Linked DNA regions of Daphnia pulex. The protein of the gene in region 1 purifies or fractionates together with the protein of each later gene. This does not show direct contact. Links are inferred from orthologs where the notes say so. Each region holds a gene or a part of one and is shown on either strand. Other genes may lie near its edges. The genes, in order: transcriptional adapter 2-beta-like, transcription initiation protein SPT3 homolog, ubiquitin carboxyl-terminal hydrolase 22-like, SAGA-associated factor 29-like and transformation/transcription domain-associated protein-like.

The links.
Region 2: the proteins of transcriptional adapter 2-beta-like (region 1) and transcription initiation protein SPT3 homolog purify together in Drosophila melanogaster (affinity purification with mass spectrometry; 7 studies listed by BioGRID, with this or other methods). This does not show direct contact. The link is inferred for Daphnia pulex from reciprocal best matches to the Drosophila melanogaster genes Ada2b and Spt3.
Region 3: the proteins of transcriptional adapter 2-beta-like (region 1) and ubiquitin carboxyl-terminal hydrolase 22-like purify together in Drosophila melanogaster (affinity purification with mass spectrometry; 3 studies listed by BioGRID, with this or other methods). This does not show direct contact. The link is inferred for Daphnia pulex from reciprocal best matches to the Drosophila melanogaster genes Ada2b and not.
Region 4: the proteins of transcriptional adapter 2-beta-like (region 1) and SAGA-associated factor 29-like purify together in Drosophila melanogaster (affinity purification with mass spectrometry; 4 studies listed by BioGRID, with this or other methods). This does not show direct contact. The link is inferred for Daphnia pulex from reciprocal best matches to the Drosophila melanogaster genes Ada2b and Sgf29.
Region 5: the proteins of transcriptional adapter 2-beta-like (region 1) and transformation/transcription domain-associated protein-like purify together in Drosophila melanogaster (affinity purification with western blotting; 4 studies listed by BioGRID, with this or other methods). This does not show direct contact. The link is inferred for Daphnia pulex from reciprocal best matches to the Drosophila melanogaster genes Ada2b and Nipped-A.

What each region holds. Positions count from the first base shown.
Region 1 is NC_060026.1:11,480,941-11,485,073, forward strand, and holds transcriptional adapter 2-beta-like, read left to right. Parts: upstream 1-1,321; 5' UTR 1,322-1,395; coding exon 1,396-1,402; intron 1,403-1,475; coding exon 1,476-1,573; intron 1,574-1,717; coding exon 1,718-1,777; intron 1,778-1,835; coding exon 1,836-1,992; intron 1,993-2,055; coding exon 2,056-2,294; intron 2,295-2,360; coding exon 2,361-2,602; intron 2,603-2,669; coding exon 2,670-2,901; intron 2,902-3,141; coding exon 3,142-3,197; intron 3,198-3,378; coding exon 3,379-3,622; intron 3,623-3,693; coding exon 3,694-3,756; intron 3,757-3,820; coding exon 3,821-3,922; 3' UTR 3,923-3,984; downstream 3,985-4,133. Other genes in the region: eukaryotic translation initiation factor 3 subunit F-like, read right to left, coding at 59-309, 368-459, 527-815, 988-1,096. UniProt on the Drosophila melanogaster protein: Component of several Gcn5-containing histone acetyltransferase complexes that regulate nucleosome organization; involved in acetylation of histone H3, particularly on Lys-10 (H3K9ac) and Lys-15 (H3K14ac).
Region 2 is NC_060027.1:750,356-753,821, forward strand, and holds transcription initiation protein SPT3 homolog, read right to left. Parts: upstream 2,063-3,466; 5' UTR 1,899-2,062; coding exon 1,844-1,898; intron 1,779-1,843; coding exon 1,601-1,778; intron 1,533-1,600; coding exon 1,226-1,532; intron 1,164-1,225; coding exon 906-1,163; intron 867-905; exon of another isoform or gene 837-866; coding exon 690-836; 3' UTR 689-689; coding exon of another isoform or gene 569-688; 3' UTR 508-568; downstream 1-507. Other genes in the region: DALR anticodon-binding domain-containing protein 3-like, read left to right, coding at 1-142, 212-507, 569-688; HEAT repeat-containing protein 6-like, read left to right, coding at 2,338-2,523, 2,579-2,827, 2,898-3,134, 3,199-3,283, 3,344-3,466. UniProt on the Drosophila melanogaster protein: Component of the transcription regulatory complex SAGA, a multiprotein complex that activates transcription by remodeling chromatin and mediating histone acetylation and deubiquitination. The SAGA complex predominantly acetylates histone H3.
Region 3 is NC_060023.1:10,811,921-10,815,980, reverse strand, and holds the start of ubiquitin carboxyl-terminal hydrolase 22-like, read right to left. Parts: upstream 2,809-4,060; 5' UTR 2,594-2,808; coding exon 2,471-2,593; intron 2,411-2,470; coding exon 2,278-2,410; intron 2,217-2,277; coding exon 2,001-2,216; intron 1,936-2,000; coding exon 1,763-1,935; intron 1,654-1,762; coding exon 1,508-1,653; intron 1,439-1,507; coding exon 1,319-1,438; intron 1,245-1,318; coding exon 986-1,244; intron 903-985; coding exon 724-902; intron 637-723; coding exon 487-636; intron 393-486; coding exon 350-392; 3' UTR 1-349. UniProt on the Drosophila melanogaster protein: Histone deubiquitinating component of the transcription regulatory histone acetylation (HAT) complex SAGA. Catalyzes the deubiquitination of histone H2B, thereby acting as a coactivator in a large subset of genes.
Region 4 is NC_060019.1:9,072,656-9,075,826, reverse strand, and holds SAGA-associated factor 29-like, read right to left. Parts: upstream 2,005-3,171; 5' UTR 1,885-2,004; intron 1,826-1,884; 5' UTR 1,728-1,825; coding exon 1,689-1,727; intron 1,627-1,688; coding exon 1,492-1,626; intron 1,432-1,491; coding exon 1,309-1,431; intron 1,246-1,308; coding exon 1,087-1,245; intron 1,021-1,086; coding exon 792-1,020; intron 711-791; coding exon 532-710; 3' UTR 504-531; downstream 1-503. Other genes in the region: uncharacterized protein LOC124191408, read left to right, coding at 134-232, 290-430. UniProt on the Drosophila melanogaster protein: Component of both the SAGA and CHAT histone acetyltransferase complexes, which both predominantly acetylate histone H3.
Region 5 is NC_060018.1:6,526,831-6,531,038, forward strand, and holds the start of transformation/transcription domain-associated protein-like, read right to left. Parts: upstream 2,801-4,208; 5' UTR 2,536-2,800; intron 2,473-2,535; 5' UTR 2,468-2,472; coding exon 1-2,467. Other genes in the region: splicing factor 3B subunit 4-like, read right to left, coding at 3,210-3,300, 3,366-3,775, 3,835-3,879, 3,940-4,208. UniProt on the Drosophila melanogaster protein: Part of the Tip60 chromatin-remodeling complex which is involved in DNA repair. Upon induction of DNA double-strand breaks, this complex acetylates phosphorylated H2AV in nucleosomes and exchanges it with unmodified H2AV.

The DNA.
Region 1 (4,133 bases):
TTAATAAAGTTTTACAAAAATTAGATTAAATAAGTAAATATTGGGTAATGTTTTCTACCTTTCGGTTTGAATTAAGCATCTCTTCAAATTCGTCGGGTGTCATTTTAGGTACCGAATGAACCATATCTAATAGAGAACGACCAAACGTGTTGTCAGCCGTTTTGGAGCCACTCATTACGTCGTCAACATAAGCCAAGATAGTGTCCAGCATGTTTTCCATCTGCTGCGAGGCTTCAACAATCTGAGTAAGATCCGAAGCGATGCCCGCTTGACGTTTAACCGAGGTTTTGGTTTTCTGGCAGGCATTTACTGAAAAACAATCAAAGATTAATTCCCAGTATACATACACATTTTCTATTATAATTACATCCAATAGTTTCTGGGTCATAGCATGCTATCTCAACAGAAACAGGAGCAAACATGCATCCCATAGTTTTGCCTGTGATACCCATTGGGACACTAGATGATAATTTAAAGATAATTATTTTTCAAAGCAATTGTATCATACTGAATTAATAGCATGTACCTGACATAAGCTTTGATTCCCATACGGGTATCTTGCAATGTGGTGTCCACTGTAATGTGAACAGGATTGGAGGACTCTCTGGAGTAGTACTCATGAATAAGAGCAGAGTGAGATGTGACTCCAGTACCAGTTGCCCACCAACCTACAATGCTTTCTTGGGGATTAACTTTACGATGCAAGTCATACATATCCTTGGCAAAGTCCAATTCCACAGCCACTTCTTCTTCTGATTCATTGTGAGGCACACAAAAGCAATTGGTCACTTCCACACCATTTTTATCTGATGTGCCTGGAAAAAATCAATATGAAAAATGAGTTATCACAACTTCGATTTCGCATATTATAGGAATTTAGGTATATAATCCAAAGATTTTGTCAGGTACTCGATACCGATACACGTGTCAACAGTCGAAAAAACAATAAAACGCGAAAGCAAACGGATGATCTAAATTGTATGTTACCAAGCAACGTTCCAATTACTCTCTGTGCATCAGGATTACGACGCTCATAAGAGTCAATAATCTGAAATAATACAACAGGATGCAACTTGACAGTCAGATTGAGAGCCATTTTGCGTGACTTTTTTTGCAGACCACTACCGCATTGGAGCTGAAAAAGCCGACACGAACTAGTTGCCAATTGGTGATATATAATACGTTGAATTATTTCTATTTACCAAACACGTCTCGTTATACATTAAAAAAAATTTAATTTAATAAAATGTACGGTGTACATTGTTTATAAATTTTACACGTCATTTTAATTATTTTTTAAAGACTTCTCACTTCTCAGTCACCAGAGGGCGCGACCAATGCTTTCGCTAGCGTTGGCATAGCTTAGTTGTTCTTGATGGGAAGGGAAGGCTAAAGATGGCGGGTAAAAAAAAATGCTCTCGTTGAATCCTTATTTTCGAAAATTGAAAATCTTTCTTTCTGTATCCATTCCTCAGATTTATTTATGAAGCATCGATGTGGCTACTGTCAGGACGACATCCTTGGCATTCGAATCCGATGTAACGTTTGTGTCGATTACGAACTTTGTTTACAGGTGTGGTATAAAATCTTCGTTGAATGAATCCCTCCCCTTCCTTCTTTGTTGTTTGTTATGACGCCCACCGGAGTGGTATTGCCGGTTGGTCGGCGGCGAATTTGAATTATTTTAATAACACAGTTTTGCAATGTTTCTTTCTAGTGTTTCTCTCTTGGCTGTGAAATTGGACCACATAAAAGTAGTCATGGATATAGATTAATAGTGAGTATTTAAGTTTTTCTATCAAACTCTCAATAAATACTTTATTTTTAATTTCTAGGATCCTGGTACTTTTAGTATTTTTCCTGACCAACAAAGGGAGGATGAAGGTGGCTGGATTGCAAGGGAAGACTATCAGTTACTTGATGCAATAGAACAGTTTGGTTATGGAAATTGGGAAGATGTTGCGAAACATGTAGAAACACGGGATTCAGAAAGTAATTGTTGATTTTTATCAGGATTTTATCATCAGTTACTCTCCAATTATGTTTTTTTTACAGAATGCAAAGAACAGTACTGTGATAGATTTGTCACAGGAACAATAGGTAAACTAACATGGCAAGGGCTTCCAAATGGACTTCTCGCAAGTGGAGAGTCTCGCTTGGCAGCAATTGATCACACTTGTCCAGATAATGCACCTCTATCTCCATCCATCACATCACGACTACCACCTTTAGCTATTCAACCTGAAGAAACATTAGAACTTGGATACATGCCTCAAAGAGATGATTTTGAAAGGGTGGGTCTTAATTTGTCATGAAACAAATTGTCTTAAAAACTTCAACATTATTTTTATTTTTTGTAGGAACATGACAATGAAGCTGAGGCAATTGTTTCTCATCTTGCCATTAATCATGACGACGAGGATATTGATTTGGCTCTAAAACTGGCTCAAGTCGATATGTATACTCGCCGCCTGAGGGAAAGAGCCCGAAGGAAGCGGGTTGCTCGGGATTTTCAACTGGTATCCCAATTTTTTAACGCTATCAAGAAAGAGAAGGAAAAACCTACGACTGCCGCAAAAAAAAGGGAGTCCCAAAAGGAAAAGTAATTCATGTTTCAATTAGTTAACTATAGATTCATTACAAACAGTTACATTTTTTTCCTTGTACAGAGAAACGCAAGAAAAATTTCGTTCGTTTTCCCAATTCCACACGGCACCTGAGCATGAGCAATTCTTACGCAATCTAACTAAAGAGAGAGCTTTGCGATTGCGGATTCGAGAACTAATCAAATACCGTAGGAATGGATTAACTCGACATGAGGAATGTACTGAATATGAACGACTGCGATACTTCCGTGAAAGAAAGAAAGAAGCCCGGTTGGAGCGCCAGCGCCGGAAATCCGTAAGCAATTTTCCCAGTCTGTACTATTGCTTGCATAGTTTCGTCAAGCGATAGTAAGAGTGTGCGACTGGTTTATTTACCTGTTAATACTTCGTTGAAATGAATCATTATTGGTGGTGTCCATTGGTTGAATATTCGATTTTATTTTTTTACTTATGTGTCTTTATTTTAAGTATCTTACAAGCTAGTTAAATTAGAACCCAAAAAAGACTGGAAATTGAACAATAGACTTTAACGTAGGGAAGCAGTGGACCGGGGCCGATTGTACAAAACCCTGGGACACTACACAAGTCAGAGTAAGCTTTATTATTTCCCCTTTTTTACATACTATGTGCAGTTTAACTCATCAGTTACCTGTGATAGCTTTGCATTATATTACGAAATCTCAACTATATTTCTTAGTTCTTAGAATTGTTAAGTAAATTCGTGGCTTATGTATGTAACTTGTTTTTTTTGTTTTTTTTTTTTTTTTCGCAGCAACGCAAGGGAAGAAGTGCTACTTTCAAGCTTTCGAGACGCAAAAGTCACCTCCTTCGGCAGCAACAACAACAGCAGCGTCCTCAGCGTTTCAAGCAGTCTGCCTCGACTCGGGCCCGTACTCTCCGCTAATACCCGACTTTCACAGTCAGAATGGCAGGAGGCAGTTGCTAATTTCCTCGCCAAGAGCGACGATCTCACTTTATGTCCCGGTTCAGAACTGCTCAGTCCTGCTGAAAAGCAAGTCAGTGAAACGATTATTATAATTATTATTTTTAAAGTTTTATCCAATAATTGTTTTCCTTTAAATCTCAGATTTGCCAAAATCTACGTTTGAGACCATTGTACTATACGTCATTGAAGGCCAATCTCATATTGGTAAGTCGAATCATTCACTCTCTTGATTTATTCACTTGAAATAAAATACAAATCTTTTTCTCAGAGTGGGACCGACAAGACTCCGCTCCTACCCGGCCTGGCTGCTGACGAGCAGTCTATGATTGTAAATTATTTTACGAAAGCCGGTTTTCTGTCTGTCGAGTGAAAACAGCAATTTTGTGTTGAAAAAATATGTGTCTTTTTTGAATAAAGTTCAACTGTTTTTTTTTAAACGAATTTCCAATATTCATTTCATTTTAGTTTTGATAGATTAGTTAAATTTTACGAATAATTTTGAGTATATTAATATAATTTGCATGATAAACCTTTTTTGTTTGATCAGATAAAAGATCACCTGATTTTTTCATCTTAATAAG
Region 2 (3,466 bases), on another chromosome or scaffold:
AGGCATCCAACGGAAGGTAAAAGTATGTCTGAAGCATGGATCACAGAGGCTGTTATCAGTTATGATTTCTTGCACAATGACACCACAAAACCAATGCATGCGGTAGGACTAGCTGGACTAGAAATTGATCCTCAATTCAGAGGTATTCAGTTTACCAAAATCATGGTTCCTTTTTAATAACTAATTATTGAATTTTTCATTTCTATTTTAGAAGCAATAAAGGTTTTGTACAACAGAAGTAGGGTTGCCTGTATACTTCAAAAATTTTCTGATGGAGTGGATTGCTCACTTTACCCTCCACTGCCAAGTTTGGATACGACCAATTTTAAGTTGCTGAAGCATAAAGCAGAAATTGAAATCACCTCCAAATATATTGCTGGATTTGTTCCTATGCTGAACAAATTTTCACTCACTCGCATCGCAAAGATAACTTCAGAGTTATGGCGATTTTTGCTATTTTTATCGCAGGATTATTCCCATTACTACAGTTCAGTTCGCACCCTATGTGTGAGTATTCTTTATTCAGGTTTCTTGCATACAATTTTACATTAAAGTTTCCTATTTTTAGGATGAACACAACCGATCGCATCCAACAATGCACGCACGAATTTGGATGTTGAAAGTGATATTAACAATTTACGACGCAGCTTTCGCCATATTGAATTTGAAGCCCTTGCAGTACGTTTAAATTACAGTGCCAGAAGTCGATGTCCAGGAGGAGGAACACCATTTCTTCGGAATGGAGAAAAAATTGAGTTGTGTGTATTGTTGAACCGTCTGATGGCCTCAGAGACTTCCGCTGTTTGAAGAGGTTTCATCGAATTTGACCATGTCGGCTAAAAATACGGAAATTTTGTTTTAAAGAATGATTATAATTATTGTAACATTCATTTTAATCCTTTTACCTTGAACAAATCAGCATTCGCTGGAGATACTCTTGGTGCAGTGTTACGTTGAACTGCGTCACTCACTTGCCCAGCCATATTGTCTCTTCGTACTATGAAGGCCAGATCTACTATTTGTGCGATGGTTTCGTAAGCAAAGTAACTGAGAATAGACCAAGCTGTCGCACTTAAAGCAACCTCAGGAGCTGGAGAATCTTTAAGTAACCAATCTTGAAATTTACCAGAAGGCTGGCCTCTCTTAAATGAGGTAGATTTGGCCTGACAAAAACAATTCTGTTAAATCTAGATTTTGAAAAAGCAGTTAGGTTGAATCAAAATACTTGAGAATATTCAATGTACTGCCCCTTCTCCATGGCTAATGTCATTCTCTCAATCCTTTCATTTCGTTCCTTGAGGGCATCATCAGGTAACAGGAAAGGTTTAGATGGATCTGCCACATTACACAGATAACATGATGGATCAAGGTGTTGTAGGAATGCAAGAGCAGAATTCAGTTTTTTATTTCCAGTGTGAAGATCAGAAAATTCAGTCATTATGTCTTTAGGCAAATCATCTTCTTTTGCCAAATCCTTAAACCCACTGGCTTGTAAATAGGTGCAAAATCTTCTCAGTTTAACTGGACTGTGCCTAATTTAACAGAAATCACTTCAATATATTGAATAACTTGAGATATTGTTAAACTGAAGGTTACCTACCTAAGTAAGACTAGAAATTCTTTGATACCAATTTTCTTTGAGTTAATTTTAACAGCAACCTCAGACAGTGCATTCAGGAACTGAATTAGTTGTTCCTTCACAATTTTCTCTACTAATTCAGCAGTTTCTTTCAGCGAATATTTGCTGTCGCCAAATCCATACATCATTTTTTGGATTTCTAAACATGTCGAATTAAATGTAGTTAGGAAATGTTGACATTGTTGGTCGTTAATATGAACTTACCCAAGATGTACCATCCATCGGTGGAAGAATTAGTGGATACATCAGCAGCTGGCATTTTTAGGAGATTGAGAATTTTGCTAATTTTTACAAAATATCAGTTGTGTTGGTATAATTCGTGTACCAAATAGTAATATCAACCGGTGTTTTCTAAAACTCCATTTGTTATTGTTTGAAGTCTGAACTGAACCCTAAAAGAAGGTATTGTGTGGTAGTCTGCTAGCCTAGCTAGACATATTTGAATTTGCCTCAATGCCAAAGCTAATTTTGAAACTATTTCAATTTTTTTCCCAAAATTTAGTAAGGAAAAAAAAATCTTTATTTTTTATGAACTTTTGAATGAACCACGCTTTCATTAATCTTAAACATTTTTCAATTAAGAAAAAAAAAAACCAAGCGGATGCCTTCGGTACTTCGTCGACACATAGCAGACGAAAATGTCGAAAAAATCAAGGACCTTCAATTTGTAAACAAAGTGTGACAATCGAGATAGAGTCATGGCTCTTTCTCAACTTAAATCATTAGACACAAATTATCTGACAGGGGTTCGAGAAAAGCTCAACCTATTGTTAGATAAGAAAAATGCAAATCCGGAAGAAATAACAAATTTCTTGGATAATCTGAACACCCTTTTCTTCGATCTTAAAAGGAAAGAATTGGAATCGTCGTCAGTCAATGTTCAAGTAAGATTCCATAAAAGTTATATTCATTTCACTGTTTAAAATCTTATGTTTATAGGATTCTGTAATTTTAGTATCAGATGTTTTAAAAATTGTGAAACATGAAGAATCTTTTAAAGTTGCCAAGACTTGTCAAATATGGGAACAAGTTTTACAACTTCCAAATGTACACTTAACAAGTCAAGCATCAGAGCAATTAATTGATTGGATTATAAAATCCCTTAAGAATGAAAATCATTTAATATTTACTGACATTTTCAATTGTCTTGCTGTGGCAGTCAACTTCAAAGAAGTTAAACAAACTAAAGTAGGTCTGAAACTGGGAATGAATGAAAAATTTTGAACAATAATGTTTCCCATTGAAATTACTAAATTAGGCTTTGGAGAAAGTGCTTAGTCCTTCTGGATTCTTGATCAATAAATTGAATGAAGAACAACAAATCAATAATCAAACAGTTCTCATTCTGAAAATTCTCTGCAATTTTACCAACTGTTCGGGAGAAAAGGATTGGTCTACAATATCAAAGGATGTAATTAACACATGTATCATCCAGTTCATAAAATTCCAAGAGCAACACCTAAATTCCGATCCAAACAATCTTAACCTTCTCAAGGTAAAACAGTGTTTCTTATAATGTCATGAAGAAATTTCTTAACCACATTCATTTATTTTACTAGGTTCTTAGTCTTTGTTTCTATGGATTAGAGAATACATTTGTTAGATTTACTGCTTCAACAGTGGCTCATTTGGAAAGTATCTTTAGTAAGGCTGCACATTTCGGAGACCTGCTTATTTGGATATGATATATATTCTTTATCTAAGGTCTAGCACGATACTACATGCTTTTTGGAATCGCTGGTCAGCCACTAAAGTACGCTCCAATTCGTCCATCATCCCTTCCATTTGTGGAACTTTCTTCCAAGTCAGATCAGACGAAGAATCCGA
Region 3 (4,060 bases), on another chromosome or scaffold:
CTTGGGATTTACAATCAAAAGAATCCAAAGGGCAGAAACACCAATGGGAGGGTTTATGTCAGAGAAATCTCGCTTTTTTTTTCGTCTTTCAATTCCTTGTTCTAACCATTTTGTGTTTTTTTCATATTTTATTGAATCGTGAAAAAAGAAAAAATGAAAATGGTCGTTTTCTACGGTCATTAACCGCCGATGAACTGTCTGGAAGTGGAAGTGAGAAAGGGAAATTAAAAAAGGAAAAACAAAACAAACAAAAAAAAGGTCTTGTGAATGGAGGGATGGATGTTGCATGCAAAAAAAAAAAAGTTGACTCGGTTGAGCTGCCCTTTACAAACATTTTTCTTCTCCATTTCTATTCATACTCCAATATCATCTTGTGGTAGAAGAGTAGGTACCTGAAAAACCAAATCACCCAATTAATATCCAAGAACAACCAAGCAAATTGCAAAATATTTTAAACTAAGTTTGTTTTTGTGGAATATTTGATACCCTTCACTTTGGAGGACGTCGCGAATATCAGCTTTGGTGATGAGATGGTCATCGCACTTGAACCAATGGTCTCGGTGCTGCCGGATGTAGGCCGTGTAGTGACCGGCTTCAATGGTTCCGACGTGGTTGATCACAGCAAATAGAGAATACCTGGTGGGGTGAGAAGGAAGGAAGCAACGAGGATTCCGTCACAGTCACATTCGGTCGTTTTCTCAATAAACCGAGCAACAAGTTTACATGTTTTCAGTGGAAATAAGGGGCTTGTGGACGGGCCTATCAGCCCGGTCCGGAGAATCCGAATTGACGTTGTTATTGATGTTTCGACGGTGGGACATGAATGGACTCATGTCCAGGTATTCTGGAAAGGCGATGAATGACGAGATCTTCTTATGGAATCGATTGGAATGTTCAAAGCGCTGCATAAAGTAAAGAAAAAAATAACGATGAGTGGTTCATAATATGACGTTCAAAGTCAATAAAAAAACAAAACAATACGCACCTTTAGGTGAAAACTAGCAACCACTGGCAGTTTCTTCATCGTCAGTTGTTTTGTGGATTCTTGGTAGCTAAGACATCGCGAACACTTGATCTTAGCCGAAGATCCCAAGTGCTCTGCCCGGGTGAATCGCTCCAAACAGTCCTGCAAGGAAGTGGGAATCGATCCAGGGCCGTTGCCAGTGGTGACGACTTTCGTGCTGGGTGACGGACCGAGGTCCAGGGAAATATCCCAAAAAGGATCTACTGTTGTAGAGACACCGCTGCAGTGAACAAAAACAAAATAACCGTTAAGACCAGCAAATTTAGGACATCAAACATTTGAAATAGTTATTACTGGCAAGCTTGACAAACGACGTCTGACTGCAAACCACCAGTGAAAATTTGATCTATGATACATGTGCACCGATTGACAGAGTTCTCTTGAGGCTGAGTCGACTGTTGCTCATTTGGTCCTCTGTTAAAAATCATTTATATTTAGAATGTCACGTTTCTCACGACTTTTATAGCCAATGAATAATTTCACCTGCAGTGTCGATGGAGTACATCCAAAGTTGCTATGAAAAATTCGTGGGCGTCTTGCTGTTCATATCCAGCTAAATGACGAGCGTGAGTCCATATCAAGTGAAGAAGTCGGTGCAATGTCAGAGGAGCCTTGTTCCCCGAATAGAACTGCGAAAGAGAAGATTAAAAAAGAAGCGATAAGTCTAGTAGGAGTGTTATGAATCCGAAAATAGATTTCTCACAGGAAACGAGGATTCTTGTTTTTTGGATGACATACCTCTTGGAATAGGCGAGAGATTTCGCAGACCAGACAGCGACTCGGTTCGTCTTGGAACTGACAAATATGACGATCCGACAAGAAGAAATCTCTGAGAAGAGGTACTTTTAAGAGAGCCTGTACTATGCAGTTCATGAAACAGGTGTTGCCCAAATTCACTAGACCTCTGAGTCCTGCCATGAATGAAACATGGAGTTAAGATAAAAGATTGGATAATGAATTTTTTTAAATAATGAACCGATAGTGGCAGAGTCTGTGATCTTCTTGCGTCGTGTATGCTTTTTGAGGAGCTCAATTTCTTCCTCAGAAGGTTCCCATGAATGATAGACTTGACCCAGTCCCAAGGAGAGAGAAGCTTTGGTTTGATGCTTTTGAGCAATAGTTTCCAATTCTCGGTCATAGACGTAATCCCCACACTGAAAGCAGCACACAACTCCATAAGTCAGATCTACAGCTGTAAAAAAAAGGAGGCTGCATTAGTATCAATGAGATTTGATTTTTGGTTGTCGAATTACCTAAGAAATGTTTCCGCTGCTGAGAGTGGGCCTGTATGTGACCAGCACCATAGCAGCCAAAGAAAATGCAGTGAAGGCAGGCATGAAGCCTGGGTCCTCTTCGCTGACAGACATGACACACACACGATTTGGCCTAGCAACAAAAATGATGAGTAAAGGAGTGATTTAAAAGAAACAATACTTGAACTCTTACCTTGCGTTTACGGGCTTCTGAAGATGTGCATGCCACAAAAAAGGAATGAATGAGCCGGTAGGGCCTAGTCCCCTTGGCCGCTTTGAAGTTGTTCAAGTGGAGACAGCCATGGGCAGCCGACATGGCCACCGACGGTGAATTAGACTTGGGCAAAATGTTGGCGGCTTTATAATTCCACACGTTTTAATAGAGACCTTATAGAAAATTAATAAATTTCGGCCTCTACAAGCCCAACCTCGACGGCTTTCTCAAGAAGAAACAATTTATCTAAACGCCATAGCTTCTTTCCTTTTCTGTAGGCCAAAAAAAAAAATTTATTCTGCTAAAATGGTAAAGCGCCATCGCCATCTTCTGTCCAAAATAACAACCTCGTGCAACGTTGAGCAGACAAGATTTTTTTGAGGAAAAATGGAGGGAGATTTTTGTGTGAAAACCGCAGACAACAAATCAATTATATCCTGGCCGCCGGAAATGTGGTAACCGCTAGCTTTTGTTCGGAAATAATACATGGACTAGTGAACTTTTTTTTTGGTGCAGGAAGCAATTCCCCAGGAGATAACCTCATTTTATATAATGATTTCAAAAGATTGGAACGAAACGTGTTTTTGTTTCCCCCTTTTCTTCCGAATTCAAGATAATTGGCAATGTTTTGGCTGGGTGAAAATGAGGTCGGGATTTCGAAGAAGACGTTTTGCCAGAATCAAAATGCTCGTGGAATGTGAAACTCTTGCATTAAAAAAACAACAATGTTGGAAAGTGATGTTTACACGGATGATGAAGCCCTTGGATGAAGTGAAACGGAGTGGAATAAAATCGAAAGTTGAGCTATTGCAACGAGCCGTGAAATAACCAAACGTCACCGTCTCCTTTATCGACGATATTCGACCACAATGGCCGAGATCGACGACGTGTGCAACACATCACATTTCTGCCATAAGTAAGTGGCAACTGGTTTGCAATCAATTTTGGCAATCAAACTAGATTATGTCGGCGATGCATTTCAATCGCCACATGTCTGAATGAATTAAGATCAATCCAAGGTTAATAAATTCGACATGGTCAATCAGCTGGTGTGTGTGTGTAAATAGTTATCTCTCCCCACGTGTTAAGTCATTCTTGACGCGAAATTTTCATAATAACGCTTTCGAGGTGGCCAAAAAACCATGTGATATCCAATTGGACACGATGTGTCGTGAATAATGATGCTGTTGTGGAATAATCTTGTGGCCTTGAAAGTCAAAATCTTGAAGAAAAGAACTTGGGGATGTCTGCCAGTGTTATATAGTCGAAATGCCCTTCAAAATGGATTCTTTTTCATTTTATTTTTCTTTTCTTTTAGGTTCTCGAAGCTTAACTTTATAGCTGATAATAGAAAAAAAAAGGACTCCCAAAGCCCCTCGAGGACGTGAAGAAGAAACTGGAAATGTGTCTAAATGGCCGCTGGAGAAGAACTCGCTTCCCAATATTTAAGTATATACATGTTTTTCTATACTTTCAAACGTATCCAACAACCCTATGGCTTCGCCCTGCTGATGACCAGCCCATATAAGTATACGGTAATTCCCTTTTTTCTCTCGAGACCTGCTGGTG
Region 4 (3,171 bases), on another chromosome or scaffold:
GATTTAGTTCGAGCAGATGTAATGTGAACTAAAACACTTTACTTTTAAAAATTAATTAACTGTCCATTTTGTGGTTGTGAGACTACTACATAATTCATAAAATCTGTGTTCTAATTCTTTTTCTTATTCATAGGGCGACAAAACTCAGATTACTCGCTATTGGGTTGGTAAATATCTTCTTGCTGGATGGCTGGTTTTGGGAATTACCTACAATCTGAAGTACAACTCTCATGTAAGTATTTGCCTCTAATAGTGGACAGCACCCAAAATACTACATTTTAACTTTTAGGACTGGACTCGCAAGAAAGGATTTGCAATTTTCGGCTCCAGACCCGCAGTTTACCCAGGAGATCCGAACTTCCCTAAAGTTTCCGATAAAATGAAGCCTTCTGACTACGCCGACTACGGATTCAAAAACTCCCCCATTTAGATTCTATTTCATGTTTCATACGTGGTTGGAAGAAGTAGTGAAAAACACAAATCCTGCTGTACAGAAGAGAGAATAGAAAAAAGGGTCAAATGTATTTGAAATCATTTCTTTTTCTCTTTGATAGCTATGACATATCGTTGCGCCACCATCAAAGGCGGACTGAATCCTTCAGTATAGCTAGAATCTTCAAAAAGAACTTGGTATTCATCTTGAGCTGTTTGGGGTAATTGATTGATTACCGCTTTGTAAAAACAGGTCGTTTGTGGATACAAAGCCATGACTAAAAACAAATGTTTAGTATGTTAATAATATGCTAACGTCGGATCAGCTAAAATTTGCGATTTTTTTGTTTTGTTTTTACCAGTGGCTCCTTTTGAGAACAAAGCATCGGGATCGGTTTCAGGATTAGCTCGCATCAAAGGAAGAGGAATTACTCTGCGTTTGCTTAAAGTGTGTCGCTCTTTCTGTTCCTCGTCAATATCATCCACTTCATAGCGCCCAGAAGAAGCTAAATATTGAACGACTTCTGCCAAAATCCAATTCTCATCGCCGTCTGTACTCTTTACCAAAGCCGCAACAATATCTCCCAGCTGACATACATATAAGGTGTTTCGGTTAGTCAATTAACAGTTTATGACATTCGAATAATGTAATACTTTGGCAACGTAAGTTGGGTCAGCTGGAACTGCTCCACATAATGCTGGTGGCTGTTGTCCTGACTTACTGATCCACAGCGGGAGAGTTTGAGCAGTAACGAGAAGCATTTTCATGAGAGCACCTCTTCTTATAGTTTCCTTACTGCCAGCTTGTTTTGCCTGAACAAGAATGTTAGTACAATGTTAGGTGAAATTTTCTAAGTTTACGTTCTTGGGAATAACCTGAATTCTCCTTTCATGTCTGATAACGCGAATTTCATAGATTTTGCTTAATGCCTTACGAATAAGGTCCTCTTCTTTTTCAGCATCAGCCACCACAGAGCAATACAGTCCTTTTAATTTAGACTGATAATTTTATAGGCATTCATTAGTGCTGATTAATTAGTGATATGGGAATAGAAATACCTTGTGATATGGAGAAATTTTGTCATCTGACTGAAGTTTTTCATGAGCTTTGATAACAGCATTTAAGTTACCTTCATTACGAACTTTCTCTTCTTGAATCTGCTTGACCAACTTGTAGATCCCCTTCAATCGTTCCTGCACCCCAATCCAAATTAGAACTAAGTAAATACCTTAACAACTGATTATATCAACCTTACTTGGACTTGCTGTGTGGCAGAATCTAATGACAAAGCCATGATGTATATGTTTAATAACAACTACCTCTCCTAAATGATGAGCTCAAACCAGCAATGATGACTGGAATCCAAGCAAAAGCCACCAAGAAAACCAAGAACTAAAGAAAATTAAATTCTGAAATTTACATATCTTTTATGCACAGAAAAATAACCTTACTAAATTAATGAAGATGAGTTTAAAAACAGTCATCGGAAATCAGCCTTCCAAACAATAAATTGAAAATCGTAACATCGGCAGTTGCTTTGTCGTCACCATGGCAACTATGGCATCAACTGTATTAGTTCCATTCGTCATTAGCAGATGGCATGAGCATGCTCAAATTGTATAACCATGGCAATAATTTCTAAATCAGGCCTTTTTTTCGAGTGGTTTTATTATATAGCCTTTGATCATTTTCAACTCTCAAATTATTTAGTTATTTTGTAGTCAGTTATTTTAATATTTTGCACATCCCTGTAAAAATGTATCGGCATTGTGTGGTAACTTTTTGGTGATGACTGACGATAACTATTCCACCAAGAAAGCTCACCTGTTAATTTTTCGATAATTTTTTTTATCTACTAAATGTATTTCACGGAGATGACGAATATTTCGTTTATTTTCCGTCCCATTCTAGTCGTCCGTGGATGCTCAGGGCTGTCACTAGGTGGCTAAATATTTCAGCGTGTTTAGGGATTGAACTATTCAGCTCTAGTGTGTTTGTTTCTAGAGGGGTGTAGGGGGATGGGTCATCAAACTGTCAAAGTCCTGAGACGACTGACAGAACAGTCTTTCTTTTGCTGTCGAGACGCTGTCCGAGAAGGTAAAATTTAGTCATTGCTGGTACTTTCTTACGTGACATTGTTGATCATAGACATGGTAATTCCATTTTTTATTCTTTAATTTTATAAAATTTAATTTTGTGTGTGGTTCAAAACGTGTAACATTGTCTTCAATTCATAATTGGTAATCGCATGTGGCCTGCTGTACATTCCCACAATGTCGTCTCTTGCTGAATGTTGCACGTTTCGTTCCATGCAGAACAGTAAAAAGTAATTATTGCTTAACTTTTTAATTCAAGACTTTGTTTCTGAATTAAAATTGTGTGACTTTGTTTCAAAAAGTAATTTAAATTTTTCTATTAACTGTTGAGCAGTAAAGCCTGAGCTTCATTACGTTTTGTTTTGCAAATTGTTTCAATTTCCAGTTGAATTATGCCAAGAGCTTTCACAGACATGCACTTAACTTGTTAGAACACTCGAGTGGGTTAGAATTTGCCTATATTTTAGTCTACTTTAAAAGTGTGTGCTACACATGTGATTTTTGTCAGGAATCAGGTCAGACATTGAATTCTCGATTTAGATGACATTTTACAACAACTATATGTTTCTAATTAAGAGCTTTTGTGAAAAGATTTGCTCAATAGAATTGTATTTTTTAAATATAAAACAGAAATTAACCCTT
Region 5 (4,208 bases), on another chromosome or scaffold:
CACTTTGAAGACTGTTTAGACTTTGAAGAAGATTCGGAAGCAATGGCAAAAATTCTTGATAAAGGAGGTCATGACTACCTCCGCCGATGGATCGAAAAAGTGCCCGCAGCAGGAGGAAATAGTTGTAGGGCTCTTTAGCACTCAAAGCTAATTCCATAGATTTGTTGACAATGTGCGGTAGATGTGGCTTTAACATTTGTTCATTCTCCGCAGCAAACAAAGAAACGCTACCAAACACAAGTTTGAACAACTTCAAATAAAGATTAGAACGCTCCATGTTCAATCCCATTTCTTCCATGTGATTCAGCAAATATTCGACGAGGATGGTGGCGAAAACAGCGGAGGTGGAAGGGTTTGCAAGAAATGAATTTGCAACTACCTGCAAAGCGCTATTGCGGTAAATGCGCTCTACCACGTAGTCAATTGTTGTGGCAAATACTTCCTTGAAAGTCTGCGGATTCATCATGGCGAAAACACCAGCAAAATGTTCCAATACTTCTTTTTCTTCTTTAGAGCGAATAGTTTGTGCTGGAACAGTCGGCCGAGCAGCGGAAGCCCCACCGACCGGAAAGCCAACGACGGTGCTATTAAGACTGCCAGAGGTCTCCGCTCCGACCGCACTCGGAATATTTAAGGCGTACACATCAAGTGCTTTCATCGCCCACTGCACCAAACGGATGAATATCACCGTTTCTTTAGGTTGCAAATTCTTGCCTGTAGTAGCAACACTAGTCGTAGTATCGAGTGGAGTTTTGCAGGCCGCACATCCCCAGGTGATGGTTTTCACACCGCACACAAGCGTTTTAACTAAGCTTCGACATTCAGTGATGCTGAAGACAGGTCCCGCAACTCGAACAGCAAACTTCATCGTTTTCTCTTTTTCATCTAGAAGAACTAAAGATGACCGAGTATCTTCCGGTTTCGTTTCATTCGCAGATGACGGTGAAGATGACGGTGGTGCAGCTCCATTCTGTGACCAACTTAACGAAGGAGAAGAAGGAGGCTCAGTACTAGGGGTTGCATTTGTTCCACTGTTGTCTTGCTTGTTCTTTGTCCCAGCTAAAATAGGCAACTGTAATTTCACGATGCTTTTGAATTTTAAAACAAAAACTTCAAGCATTTCTATCAGCAACTCTCTTCCAGGTCCATTTTCAACATCTGAACGTTGTCGTATGCACTCCACCAAATTCAGCAATAACTTGCAAGACATAGTCTGAATGCTTGTTGGAAGCGATTCGTCATGAACGTTTTTTGAGAATAGATGAACTGCACGAGCAAGGTCAAGCATTGGAAGGTGTTGTCGAACATGATGAACGAGGTCAGCTAACGTACTATAGGCTAAAGGTCTTAAAGATTCATTAGTTGTCCAACCTTTGCCAAACAGTAAATTTTCGTCAAATAAGCGCTCCATGAATGGAATGAAATGAAGACGGAGGTCAGTTGCCAGGATGTGCCTTGATGCTATCAGCAATTCTTTCCTCAAATGAGCAACTTCCATGGGGCACAGACTTAAGAGTCCCAGTATACCCTTAACCATTAGAGTAGCTTGTTGAGCAACAGCTTCTTGATAAATGCGAATGATGTAGGCCAGGAAAGATAGCGTTTTGATTTGGGCTCCAATGAAGTCTACAAAAATTTCTTTGTTAAATGCAGGATTTGCCTTGTGCTGGGCTGATGGCTGAAGGGTAATTGTAGTCATGATGAGAGGTATAAACTCTGCTACATCTTGATGAACATTATGCTTGTAAAGTTGATACATTAGGACCACAATTATTGGGAGTTCCTGCAAAACTTTCAACGACAACACTCCTTTTGGTATCAAATTATATGATATGTTGTTTCCATCAGGAGTTCGTGTTTCTGTGAGAACAACAGTGGCAGTAAATGTTTCAGCAAGTACTGCTTCAATGTTTAATTCACTTAAATCTTTAACTTTGATGGGGCTCCTTGGTTCAAATATCTTGTTTAGTTGATTCGGTAGGTCACGGTAGATGCCTTTGACAAATTGTAGAAAAGTTTGGATCTCCACACTATATTGGGGACGGTACTGTTTGTGAAGTTCAATTATGATTCGAAGACATATCAGCACATTATCTTCATTTTCTCTCTCAAGTAATCTGAACATGAGGTTAAGTGATTGTTTCACATATGGCCTTAAGTGTTCATTGGTGGGAAGACGATGAAACATTTCCAAAATCAATTTTCGGACTTGCTGAATGTTGTACTCTGCAATGAAGAGTGGTTCACTGTCTTGCAGTATCTTGAGAAAATTTTTCATAGCATGATCCAAGAATGCTGGATACTGTGGGGAACTGACAATGACTTCCAAATTTTCACTTAGCTCTTGGGCTGCTTTTAGTTTGTTCTCATCCTTTGCCCCAGGATCGGAGAGCATTGAAACAAAAGAGGTAAAAGTATTCATTTGGGCCACAACATCCAACCCAGGTACCGCATTAGAAGGCCCCATTTTATCTAAATGAATGAACAACATTGAAAAATTGTTCAAAAAAAAATGAAAAAGCTCAGACTCCTCACCTGTAGTTGACGAAGTCGTGTGGTAACGTCAATTCAAATGTAGCGTCTCAGGTAGGGTTCAAAAACAATTTATATAGGCTACTCAAGATTGACATTGTTTAAAGAAGGTATTATAGATAATGACAAGCTAGAAAACAGCTAACATCATTAAGCAGATTTATGAACGGATTGAATAAAATTCAGAATAAACGCCTGTACGCTTCACCACAGAGCCAGACTGCTTCATTTACTATTTAAAACTTAAAAGTTGACTAAAGAATCATGCTTATTGCTGAAATGAAAAACAGGCCGCAACACATGAAAATCATTCACTCATCGAGAACAAACGAGTCATGTAGCACCATCTGTTGGGTGAAATAAAAATACGGAAATGGACAGAAAATGGAGCCATCTGTGAGTAAAAGCAATTCAAGAGTCAGTTTGTAATTTTGTTAGCGTACATTTAGTTACACTTTACAAAACAGAAAGGAACTAATTCTTTACTGCATAACAGAGCTAATTGATCGAATAAAATATTCGTAAAAAAATTAGTCTGATGTTTTTAATTTACGATTTAATGGATTCAACATAAGCGTAACTATCTCGAAGCAGATCCCAAAACAGTCGCAAAGTCAAAGAAATGTGTTTATTACTTTATTTTGTATTTCAGACATACATGAAATGAATAAACGAAATCAAACGGGAGGTGGAATTGGAACAAATCCAGTTGATGGTGGTGGCGGCGGCGGCGCCCAGGAAGGCGGGGGCGGCGGAATCGGAGCTAACCTAAAATATGAATGTTGATTCTATATAGTAAATATTCATATGAATCTAATCACTATTATATTTACGGAAGAAAATTCGAAGATGGAGGTGGTGGAGGTGGAGGAGCCCAGGTGGGTGGTGGAGGAGGAGGTGGAGGCATCGCCATTGTAAGTCCTTGCAACGGAGGTGGGGGAGGTGGAGGCAATCCTGACATTCCCATGTTGCTCATTTGCGGAGGAATAGGAGGGGCATCGGCAAAAAGTTGATGAGGCCGATCTGTCTGAGCAAGAGGATTTTGTGCTGCCAGAAGCCTTTCTGCTGCTGATCCATGGCGTTCACCCTTAGAATCCTTCTTGAAGGCATATGATATAGTAATTGGCCTATTACATAAATATTGGCCATTCATGGCTTCAATGGCAGCATCAGATGCATCAAAACTGGCAAAGTTGATGAATGCAAAGCCTTTTGAATTCCCTGTTGTAGGATCCCTCATGATCTGCATTCAAAAAAACAAAATAGTAAAATTTAAAACCCCAACAATGATTTCAAATTTACCTTTGGTGTCTGAAGAATTACGCCAAATGCTGAAAATGTGTCATACTAAAAAAGCAATAATAGATTAAATTGTGTTTTGAACCTAAAGGAATGCTGATTGGTTACCAAAAGTTTTTCATCAACTTCAGGATCTAAGTTTCCAATGAAAATATTTGCTCCAACATCTAAGTTTTTCTGGTGTGCTGATGCTTTGTTTACCCGAATGGGTTTACCATACAGCTTTATCATGTTCATAATTTTACATGCGTAGTCAGCATCATCTTCACTGAGGAATTCTATGAATCCGTATCCTTGATGCAGTAAAGTAATCCGATCTTTAGGCATATGCACATTTACTACAGGACCACCTTGAACGAACAACTCCCACAGCAAGG